3 linked regions of the Daphnia pulex genome follow. The protein of the gene in region 3 purifies or fractionates together with the protein of the main gene of each other region. This does not show direct contact. Links are inferred from orthologs where the notes say so. Each region holds a gene or a part of one and is shown on either strand. Other genes may lie near its edges.

Region 1 (3,108 bases), on a different chromosome or scaffold from region 3:
TCAATAATTGAATTACTGAAGCAACTGTTTTTATTTATTTGATTGGAGGGCCAGTTTTTGAAAGTGAATAAAAACCCGCATCAGCATTAGACTGTGTTGGCCAACTCAAACTGAAGGAATCGACATCAAAAGCCTAGTCGAAACATTGCATCACTATATACTACCGGTAGCCAGTTATTTATTTATTAAGCTTGTATTGTTTGATGAAGCGTAAAAATAACGGAATAAAGAGGACGAACTCATCATAAAGGCAAAGTTGAAATGGGCTTGGTGAACGGTGAAAAATGAGCAGAGGGCTGTATAAAGTTGGGTGACAAGAGAGAGAGAGAAGAGTAAGAGAAGAGTAAGAGCAAAGGGAGGCCGCGCGCGGCGGCATTATATGTGCCTACTCCATTTCCGTGGCGAGTGGTCGAACACGCGCCTTCTTTTTAAATTTGAGTTGGGAGAGTTGCTGCTGCTGCTGGTGTACATAGCCATCTTTTCATAGGAGCCCAACAATGGGGACCAAGGCTAACGTCATCTTCCGGACTTGGTTTCCTGTTCGCTATGATCCGGAAGAGACTATGGGCTACCGCTGACGTCAATTGTTATCTTTCCTCCAATACTTTACATCCAGGCAGCAAGCACTCCTTCATTTCAGAATGGATCAAACAAGTTTTTTTTTTTAAACCCCCGGCTCTTTCTTTCTTTTTGTTGCCTTTTTACATTATGGCAGTTTCTGTCGAGCGTTTTTAAACACTTCGTATTTTTTAGTTTTTTTTACATTAGGCTCACGCTATTAAAACAACAGCGAAAGCGATGTCGCATTCTGGAAAGTGGAAACTAGAATTAGATTTCGTTTATCATCGCACAATTTAAAAAATTCGTTTTTCTAGTCGGTTCTAGTCAAACGGATGGCAATGCTATTACAATATTCGCAAATTAAATTGCAGGTGTATACAGTATCTGTCACTGAATAAATCCTTCCTGGATGCCAGTCGATGCGATCTAAGTTTAAGGGTAAATGTTCAGTTGTCTCTGGTTAATTGATTTGGATACGATCGTGTGGACACTGTAAACATTCTGCCTTACATTGAGAACAATCTGTTATCCAAACGGTTGCTGGTCGAAAATACCAGGATCTTCAGTGTATATTGTGTACCAAATTCAGTTTAATTTAGAGTATGAACTAGTTTATTAAGAAAAAAACTAAAAAAAGGAATTATCTGGTAAAATCAGCTGCACCGGTAAAAATTTTAAAGCCGAGTTTAACACCGGGTTGTTAAGAAATGCAATAGGTGGCTCTGGGTATCAAAATCCACAGAAATATAAGGGGGGATGCGTCGGGTAATATTGAAATAATATAAAAAAAGTTAATTGATATCTTTCAAAGTTGAATTTAAGAAAGGAATTTCAGAATTATAGGATATTTCATTCAAATCAATGATTTGCATACTGTTTTGCAATTAAGATTTAAAAAACTAAGAAAGTCTGGCAACGCGAATAGTTATTTGTTGTTTAATTTTGCAACGCCTAAAAACACAAAATACAAAGCAATCAGCTTACTTTTAGCTTTTACCTCACACAAACATAACAAACTCTACGCGTAGTTTCGTGCAGTTTCTTTCCTTGCAAACGCTAATAGAATGTCAAAAATGAAAGCGAAAAAGGAACCGTCTTCAGGTAGTAGTATACAATTGGTCAAGTTGTTAACTGCTTTTAATCTAAATATTCATACAGATTTGGAACAGAGTCTACTTAGTACTGAAAAACTAGATCGCGCCTCTCCTGACATTTGGCCTGAACGAAACTGTAACTATTCATTTACAAAGTTCCGTGTCGACGGGTATTGTAATAAAGCTTCTCTTTAAAATAGATCCAGGGATAGAGTACGTCATTGAGCCTCCAAGATCACCAGAGATGCCAGCGTTACCCCTATCCATCATTCCCCAAGAATTGGACAAGCATGATTATACACTAGTTGGACGTAAGATTGTGTAAAATGTTCAATTTAGAAATCTATCTGAGACATTCAAAACATTTCCTGTCCAAGTATTTCTTTAGTAATCTTTATGTAGCCTAATTTAGTTTACTACAAAAATCCATAACCTCTGTCCCAAACTCTTGGATAAATCATTGCAGAAATTTTTAATGGGCCACTCTTGATTTGGTTCATATTATCAATGAATTCTTACCTTATATTTACCTTTTTTTTTAGGTTATTCCAAATTAACAGCACAAGAACTGATAGCTGAAGTCAAGCAATTGCAGAATTTAGCTTATCAGCTTGGTCTGGAAGAAGCCAAAGAAATGACAAGAGGAAAATACCTAAATATACTTTCATCTAACAAAAAAAGAAAAATCTAAATATGATAGTATATGTTGACTAATTTGAAACAAGTCTAACACAAATTTTGCATTTCTTTTTTTTCTGATTTTGTTTATTCGTTCTTTAAAAGAAATAATAGTTTAGCTGTGGACTCTGATGATAAGTACAACAGAGATGTCGAATTTTACTATTTCTTGTTTTTCTCTTTTTTTACGCATGAAAAGGGATGGTATTTGTCAATTTTCTACTGTCCACTGGATTACTGACGAATCGCGACCACCGGCCGACAATACTCTTGTATCGTCAGATAGAAAACAAACGTTCGAGATGTTACTATGCCCCTGGTAAGAATGGCAAGGCGACTGGAAAATATGAAATATCACAATGATTTAACAATTACAATTTAAAAGGTAAAATAAAAATTTGGGTTATACTTTGGGTTGGGAAGGATATCTGTATAGCTTAAGACGTCCTTTATTGTCTCCTGCACACATAAGTTGCCTGGAGTTAGATGCACAGCACGAATAAACGTCAGCGCCGTCAATTCCTTCCGACAATATTCCTAGAGAAGTGGGGCTAACTGGGCAGGTAACGGAATTCCATTCCACGTCTCGTATACTAGGAACGAGGGTTATTTGACGACACACTCCAGTATTCCCTGGAAAGAATTCAAAGTTAAAGCTTCAATTAAAAAATGAGTTCATGTTGCCTTTTCGAGAATACATACGTACAATAGAACAATTCGTTATCTCCAGAATTCGTCTGAAGGTGCACGTTATCACAGGACCAATCCATTTGAC
Region 2 (4,230 bases), on a different chromosome or scaffold from region 3:
AATTCTTCCAAATCAAGGATGGTACGAGCATAGCGTCGTTGAAAATCGGGTGCAACAGTTTCGCCGACTGACTCTCGGCGTTCAACTTCTGTATTCATATCTCTCAGTCTTCTAACCTTATCTTTTTTCATATTTAAAATCTTCGAGAGTCGTACCTATAGAACAAATATATGTTACAAATTTCCAATAATACGCAGATTTTCAAAGGACTTACGATTGGTGTCAGAACGTGGATGGGCAAGGAGCCAAACGTCGTTTCTTGTGGTGTCAATCTTGAATTAGACGATCCCAAGACAGGATCGCTGACTAAACTTGAAGAATCAGAATGAGAAGTGTGTCCAATTCGTGTGCCACTGACATGTGAAGTTAAAGATAAAGTAGGCATTGCAACTTCAAGGGAAGACTGTTTAATGGGCTGTTGATGTTGACTCGAGATTGTTAGTGTTTGCTGCTGTGAAGCCATCAGTGGTATTATTGCGGGGGTCGGTGGTAAAACAGCTGGGCGAGGGCGAAACCGTTGAGCCAAACTCGATATCGAAATCATGTCTACTGTTTCATTCGACTAACAAGGAAATTTGTTTTTAGTTGAAGATGTCTTTCGTTGTCAAGACGAACATTACACGTACCAAAACTTCGTAATCCGGAACAGAGTGTGTTCCCAATCCTTGTCTATCAAATGTGATGCGGTATGTATTATTGGACGTATCTACGGCATCGATTTGGCCAACGAACAATCCATCCTTTAATGGGAAGAAAAAAATAAATAATTACTACGTATTTATTTTTCCTTCTTTTTAAATCATAAATAATTATAGTCACTAGGTCATAGTTTTAACGTCACACTCCACATATTCTTTTATTGAGCTATGTATACCCACTTCAAACTCTTGCGCTGTTATCTTAAAACACTTAGAATAACTACGGCAATCATCTCATATATACTAAGGGAATCGAAAATACTTCGGCATTTCATTAGACCAACGGCATCTTGGTATGATCACACAAGATTGCCGTCGACTGACGAAAAATCGATAACAATTTAAGTAAATAGCTGAAGTATTGTGCTTAAGTGTACCTGTGGTTGCCGAAGTCTGGCCGTCACTTTGGTGCCGATAACCAAAGGCATAGGGATAAGATCCGGCAAATCCCTACAAAGAGATGCCATATCGCTTACTTTGCGCTGTTGAACTAAACGAATCTTCTGTCTTTTTTTGGCCAATTCTCCTCTTTCTTCATTAAAAAATGCCTAAAATGAATCAAGAGGGGGAAAAATTGGATAAGAAAATGTTAGAAACTGGACAAGCCATTTGCATGAATAAAAATTTAGGCACCTGAGAACAACGTCTTGGTCTTCCCATAAGACGACGGATGGTACACCACTGGGATCTAGTAAGCTGTCGCAATTTCAAGCTGGGGAATGACTCTCGTAAACATAGCATAAAGTCATTGTCGCCTTCAAACAATGCTCTAAAATAAATAAATAAATAATAATAATTAAAAAAAAAAAACGGTTACAGCAAAATGGAGTGCTTCACAAATTATAAGGAAATCGACGAAACACACAACTACAACCATTTCTTTTTCCCCATGCAAGGTATAAAATAAATGGCACAAAAACGTACTGGTCTAGATTACTGTAGAACCATTCATAGCAGACCCATTTGTGCGCTTTGGGTAACTTAAGTAAATTGCGTAAGCGGACACCAAGTTTTTTCAAGTCTTCGGCTTCTTGCTCAGCCGTTGTTGCTGCAACCGAAGGTAAAGCGGCCGCGGCCACAATACTCCGAGCACGACGTCCAACAACTAAAGGTTCACTCTTCTGCTTTTCCGGCAACTAATACAAATGATATAGTATACAATTATTGGCAATATTTAATATATAAAAATTTTACCTTAAAAGCTGGCTTAACCTTCATTTTCTTTAGCTTTGCCTTAACTCGATTAGTAGTTTTGAGCGGCGTCGAAGCATTTGATCCACTGCGACGTTCCGGAGTACCAGTTGCACTGCCAGGTGCAGATCTTGTGTGGCCTGTAACACAATTTACTGTTAATCATGATTACATTTTTTAAAATAATTTATTTAACCTCTCTTTATTATTTTTGAAGTGGTAACTTGAGGTGCTAACTGGTTTGAATGAGATGATCCACTAACACCACTGTTGGATTTTGTGGATTTCCTTGGAGATTTATTAGTAGATTGGTTGACAATAGTATCATCATCAAAGAACAATGGATTCTTTTTTCGAATTCTTGCTGGCTAAAATAAAAATTAGTTTCCACAATTTATTACATCATATAATCAAATAAAGTCCAAATAGTCTCACTTACAATGCCTCTTCTGTTCAATGTGATTGGATTTGAAGTGGTACTCCCAGTTATTTTTGAACTAGAGGATGAATTTACATCACTGATCCGTTTTAATCCAAACATTTCTGGGCCTAAAGTCATTGCTTGATTCGCCTGTTCTGAGTCATCTCCAAAATCAAGCTCTCTTTTCACTTTGAATCCTCCATTTTTGAATGAAAGTAAAGCTTCTGCAGATTCAGCTATACAGAATTTCAAATATAAATATTAAAGTTAAGTAAAACTCTTAACACAATGTACTTCAATTGATTTGGAAAATCTATTAATGCTCAATTTTCATAACAATTGGTTGAATGAGAAATTACAAACTTAAGCAAATATGAGGTAACAATATAAACAAGTAAGGAGCCGTTCTAGAGCTTAACCCAAATCGTATCAGACAGAAATTTATAATAAATTATTAAAACTACAAAAGATTTTCAAACTGAGTTTAAAGAAAAAACATAATTAACCGTCAAAGCTTAATTGTTTGTTTACGTTTTGCAGTTAAGATAACTTACTTTCAAGTAAATCCGCCATTTTCAAGCAGTTTTTTCAACTTTCAGAATCGCTCGAATCGTCAAGCTTGGGACGTTGCCGCATTGACGAATTGTAAACCAAAAAAAAAAATTAATAAAATATTACATTTTTCTTGCTGATTTAGTGATTTTTTTACTTCTAAATTATAATAATCTAAATCCTTTTTCTAATATTTTATTACTATTTTAAATTGTAGCTTGCATTTGTTATTGGATACCTCATAGCTATTAACACTCTCGAATCACAGCAAATTTTTATCCCTGAGGGTAGTACTTGTACTACCAGAAGGCATTAAAGTAAATGCGGGTGTCTGGGTGTGTAGGAGGGGGAGGGATGTGGGGGGAGTGTACGCTGTTCTGGGCCAGGCTTCCAGAACCTTTAATTCAGAATCAGAATAAATTTATAGAAATCTAAACTACTGCATCGATTTTCTTCAAACTGTTTGTGTAAACTTACAGTAATTTATCTCAGCGGATAGGTAAGTTTCGATTCATTTGGTAATACTAAATTTAATTTAATTTTATGCGGATTTAGTCATTAGCTTTTTGTGACTTAGGACAACCACAACATCAATTCGATTGTCTGTTTGTTTTGTTTTTGTTGTCTGATTTATCAGTTAGTCAGTTACCGAACGTCGTCATCATGTTGACATGGTTAGCTTGCAATTTGTAATTATTAAAGTAACGCATAATTTCAACATTCCTGTTTCAATTCTTAGGCAAAAGACTATACTATGGATTACCTTATTCATCATTGTCATTGTAATTGTTTCGCATAGCTAAATGCTTCATGAAGGGTAAATCAACGCAATATCATTTATTATTTTGAGTTTTCTTACGTATTTTGTTTGCCTAACTAATTTTGTTGTGACGCCCAGGAAAATGACCATAAAATGGGTTTGCTTGATTTTCATGGTAGTGTATTAAACCATTTCTGTGAGTCACTCATTGATTTTGTTGTGACGCCCAGGAAAATGACCATAAAATGGGTTTCTTGATTTTCATAGTGCACTAAACCATTTCTGTGAGTCACTCACTGATATAAATACCATATGATGAGTAGTCATCATGTATGGTAAGCACTGAAATAATTTACCATAATTGTAATGCCTCACGATAAATTTTATTTTGACTGTTAGGCTAATGATTAGAAGTTAGACATGAATATGTATCGTCCTCACCTAAATTTGGATGTGCACGTGTCTGTTTCAGAAAGAAAGTTAAGGACAGGAGAAGATGAGCATTGGTAATACTAAATTTTATTTTATTTTATGCGGATTTAGTCATTAGCTTTTTGTGACTTAGGACAACCACAAAATCCATTAGGTTGTCTGTTGACAGTCTGTTG
Region 3 (4,115 bases):
AATTTCACGTTTCTTCATTCCTCACCCAGCCGCCTTAAACCCTTGCGGCCCTTTTCTTCTTTCAATTTGGACATTCCCTGCTGTTTCACCAAGCCATAGAATTTGGTTTCCTGTTTTAAACTTTGCTCTCTCTCCCCTCTTCAAACTCCCTCCTTTCCCCCCTCTGGCATCCGGCATCCTCTCTATTTGCCGCAAGTTCCCTCCATTCTTCACGTTTTCTTTGTGATGACATCGTTTCTGCTCCATACAACACAGCATAAAACATTCAAGGTAATTATCAGGCCGTACGATCTTGAGAGGACACTTTCTTTTAATGGCAAGGTAATCGTCAAGCGGAAATGCTCGACACATGAACCGGAAATAAGGCTTTCATTGAATCAGTCACGGAATTTTCAAGAAGAAAAGAAGGAAAATAAAATAAAGACACAAACAAAGGTATAAACAAATTTTACCTCTTTGGTCCAAGGTCCCTTAACCAGCTGAGGATTGACGACTTTTGTCCATCGGTGTTGGCATTGAACGTCCGATCGATCTTCAAAGAAGGAGGCTACGTTCTCCCAAATTTCACCGGTGCGTTCCACAACTCCTTTAAGTTTTTCATCCTACAAAAAGGGCAAGAAAATCATTAACTCTACAAGACTTGGGGCTGAAAGTTGAAGGGGTAGGTAGTGGGCGGGGGAGGCAAACTCACTTCGTCCTTGGTCCATCTCCCGCGGTTCACCATTTTTCTGGCTTGGGCACCTCCTTTGGTTTTTGTAGCAACCCGGGAGGTGGCTGTTGAACTCGCTTGGTGGTGTTGGGCGCTGCTGGAGGCAGTGGCGGCGCCGTTCGGCTGATATTCACCATCTGAAATATCCGATCCAAAGTCCTCGCCATAATCCGAGCCCCAACTGTTGCTATCAGCGTCCATTCCAAAGTCGTTCATCTCGTCTACTTGGCAGGTCTAAAAAATCACACAATTTTCTGGGTTATTATTTCACGTCTTACGGTACAGGTATGCGTTGACAATGGCTCCAGTTCGCCCATTCAAATTCCTACGGTAGGGTTTTGGACAATGAATGGATTGCAAATGGAAAAGAAAGTTCTTCACGCTCTTGTGTGCACATGGTTGCAAGGGAGATTATCCGGCGACATGACTCAGAATACATTAGCTCTGTACTGTAAAAAGACCGAAGTAGAGGAATAATAGAAGAAGAAAAAAAACAGTAGACGACTGGGCTCCACTGCAAAGACGGAATATTTTCTTCCGTCTCCAAATTCACCCTCGTCGCTCTTATTCGATCTCACATTTCTTTGCCTGATAAAAGGAATGTTTCCCTATGGTGGGTGGCGCGATCTAGAACCTCGAAGAATCTCTCAAGAGAGAAAGCCAGGGGGACGGATCGATAACCGTGGGACAGGCACAAGGTCTTTCATAATCGGCCATGAGTGAAAGAAAAAGAGGAAGTCTACCACTACGACGCTGTATGCACGCCGGCATTGAACATCTGCTACAGCTGCTGCCCCTCTCTTCTGAATTCAGCCCCCCTCGCTCGATTCCAACACAATCTCCCCTCTCTCTGCAAGCAAAAAACCCTTGTGTTCCAACATAAGAGAGCAACTTTTATTTTGATGCCATCTCGACGTCCATATTTACCCCTCGTATATAAAAAAATAGACGGCGTCGCTTGTTCTGTGCTCTCTTGACCTCTTTTGCTGGGACTACACAGTGAATCAAACTTAAAGCTTGTCGATGGTACCCCCCAACTTGCCCGGAACTAAATAAAGACAATGCCGTATACGGGCGCGCCTGTGTTTAGCCATCAAGCAGCTGCTGTCACCCCCCTATACAAATCAGCCTTCACTCTAGTGGAGGGGAAACCAGGTCTAACACAATTATCGGGCAGGTGGTCAGCACCAACATGAAGCGAATTCCCTATTAAGATCAAAGTGATAGATGTGCTTTTCGGTAATAATGAAAGACCCGTGCCAGAAGGACAATGGAAAACGACGAACAAACGTAGACGTCTCGAAGAAATGCTAATGACCAATGGAGAGAGGCCCGACTTTCCATTTTTGGAAACAAAATGCTGAAACCAAAACTTGCTTCAGAAATGTTTACCAATTTCGAAGAAATTAGGAAATGAAATGGACTGTCGGAATAAGAGTTACTTTCCATTGGGGAAACGATAACTTTTGAAATTGAATTAAAGATTTCAAGATAATAAGAATCACTTCACAGAAAAAAAACCGGCTTTGTTCTTATCTCGGTTATCTTTGACTCCCAAACACCGATTTTTTTAAAGTTTTTTTTTCTACCTGCAGACAAGACAATTGAAACCATATTCTTCTATCGGTTTGGATTAAAAGAGGTAAAACTCTTTGTCCAGGCGAGACTAAGACCTTTTCAGCTCTCCTGAGAATTTAAACATAAAAAAGGGTATACCTGCTTAAGTAAAAAAATCGCCAGAAAGTCGACAACAGACTTGACTTATTTTTCTGAAATTGCAATACAACTTTTCGAAAATTTCTTTGTCCTAAGAGAAAACTAGCATCAAAAGAAAGCGAAAACTCTGTCCAGACTGGGCCAAACGCACAACTCGAAAAGTCTGCTTTGTTGCTATAATCGTCCCCACCACTTGTGGAGGGAAACAAGGCATGCTAGATAGAGATTTCACGTTTTACCTTGAGTATTGAATCGTAGTTGGCAACGGGTCGGGTAAATGAGTGATGTTTTACCTCACCATGGTGAGATGATTGTAAACAAATCCACAGAATCTCACGACACTACTGTTTCGTTTCAATTACTTAGCACTGTTTTCAGAAAGCGGACACACCGCAGCTGTATGTTTTGAGCGACTACTAGGGAATGGCGGCCATTGGAGTTCCATGAGGCGGGAAGCCTTGTTGTCAGTACCCTTCCCCTTTTTTGAAAAAAAATGGCGCCCAAGCTTGGGGATGAGGAGCGTCGCCTATTGGTTCGCATTGTTTAAGCTTTCTGATTGGCTGGCTTTACGCAATTCAAAAGTTTAATAACAGATGGCGGAGCTGATTACGATTGGCAACAGCTAAGATAAAAATAAAACTAGACAAAATATAATACTGCATCTATGCACTCGTTTTTACTTATCTTTGTATGAACTCATCTTATATTCTGCATTTGAAATTGATAAAATGTCTATTTCAATGGGTTTTTTCATCTTGAAAATGAGATTAGGTGCGATGATTTTGTTTTCTAATTTGCGCTCGCGTTAAGGAAACGCTAACATGACTAAAATCATTAAATATTAATTTCAAAAATTGTTAGGAAGTATAACTTTTCGAACAAATGGAAAGATAAGATGACTAACCGAAGTTTATTGGTATTTAGACGAGGGAAAATGTTTTCTCTCAAAAGATAAGGAAGAGGGGAATGGCAACCAGTATATAGAACCTTTGTGATAACAACAGAGTAACAAAATTTTTGGATAGCAGCAATAAGAAAAGCCACTACTTCATTGTTATACAAATATTACAAAGCCAAATCACATTTCGGTTACAGCTGTCGCATCAGCATCAGCCAAAGAAATCGCCATTTACGGATGAACGACTTGAAACCAAAGTTCCACTATACAGGGAACTCCTTGACCTGAAGATTCTCGATGTAAGATTGGGATTAGCGATGAATCCAGTTCCTCGACACATGCATTCGGCAGGGAGGTTTGTCCGGCTCCTGCTTGATATTCCACCTAGACAAAGCCGAACATGGTGGATGATTTGATATTTTAAGAGAAAAAGGTATAATCTAATTTACCGAATCTCCGTCCAAAGAAACACGTAGCCCAATCAAAGTGTGAGGCTCGAGGCTTGCGAGTTTGGCGGCCAGAGCCACTGATGCAGCTTTGGCCAAAGTTTCAGCGAAACGTGTGATGTCTCCATTATCCTCAATTCTATTAGAGGAAGAGCGTGCACTGTCCTCTATTTGAATAACAAAAAGTTCTGTCCAACGCAAAAGTCTATGACCCTCGCCTTTAAAGTCACGCGGCTGCATCACTCGAATCGATGATATCCCAGTGAAGCTTCGACCATCGATAGGAGATTGAACTCTTTATCAAACAAGCAATTGTTAATTTACAAAATTTTCAAACAATATGCAT

What was found.
Region 1: the proteins of myb-related protein A-like (region 3) and protein lin-52 homolog purify together in Drosophila melanogaster (affinity purification with western blotting; 3 studies listed by BioGRID, with this or other methods). This does not show direct contact. The link is inferred for Daphnia pulex from reciprocal best matches to the Drosophila melanogaster genes Myb and lin-52.
Region 2: the proteins of myb-related protein A-like (region 3) and protein lin-9 homolog purify together in Drosophila melanogaster (affinity purification with western blotting; 5 studies listed by BioGRID). This does not show direct contact. The link is inferred for Daphnia pulex from reciprocal best matches to the Drosophila melanogaster genes Myb and mip130.

Annotation. Positions count from the first base shown.
Region 1 is NC_060027.1:6,465,602-6,468,709, reverse strand, and holds protein lin-52 homolog, read left to right. Parts: upstream 1-1,311; 5' UTR 1,312-1,625; coding exon 1,626-1,662; intron 1,663-1,719; coding exon 1,720-1,791; intron 1,792-1,855; coding exon 1,856-1,966; intron 1,967-2,197; coding exon 2,198-2,346; 3' UTR 2,347-2,495; downstream 2,496-3,108. Other genes in the region: echinoderm microtubule-associated protein-like 2, read right to left, coding at 2,545-2,670, 2,743-2,966, 3,040-3,108.
Region 2 is NC_060023.1:5,470,733-5,474,962, reverse strand, and holds the start of protein lin-9 homolog, read right to left. Parts: upstream 2,935-4,230; 5' UTR 2,884-2,934; coding exon 2,865-2,883; intron 2,547-2,864; coding exon 2,329-2,546; intron 2,258-2,328; coding exon 2,086-2,257; intron 2,030-2,085; coding exon 1,893-2,029; intron 1,835-1,892; coding exon 1,623-1,834; intron 1,468-1,622; coding exon 1,332-1,467; intron 1,247-1,331; coding exon 1,076-1,246; intron 741-1,075; coding exon 627-740; intron 563-626; coding exon 215-562; intron 156-214; coding exon 1-155.
Region 3 is NC_060022.1:6,349,834-6,353,948, reverse strand, and holds the start of myb-related protein A-like, read right to left. Parts: upstream 2,906-4,115; 5' UTR 2,665-2,905; intron 2,585-2,664; exon of another isoform or gene 2,426-2,584; intron 944-2,425; 5' UTR 926-943; coding exon 692-925; intron 603-691; coding exon 453-602; intron 1-452. Other genes in the region: zinc finger FYVE domain-containing protein 9-like, read right to left, coding at 3,555-3,707, 3,773-4,064. UniProt on the Drosophila melanogaster protein: DNA-binding protein that specifically recognizes the sequence 5'-YAAC[GT]G-3'. Component of the DREAM complex, a multiprotein complex that can both act as a transcription activator or repressor depending on the context.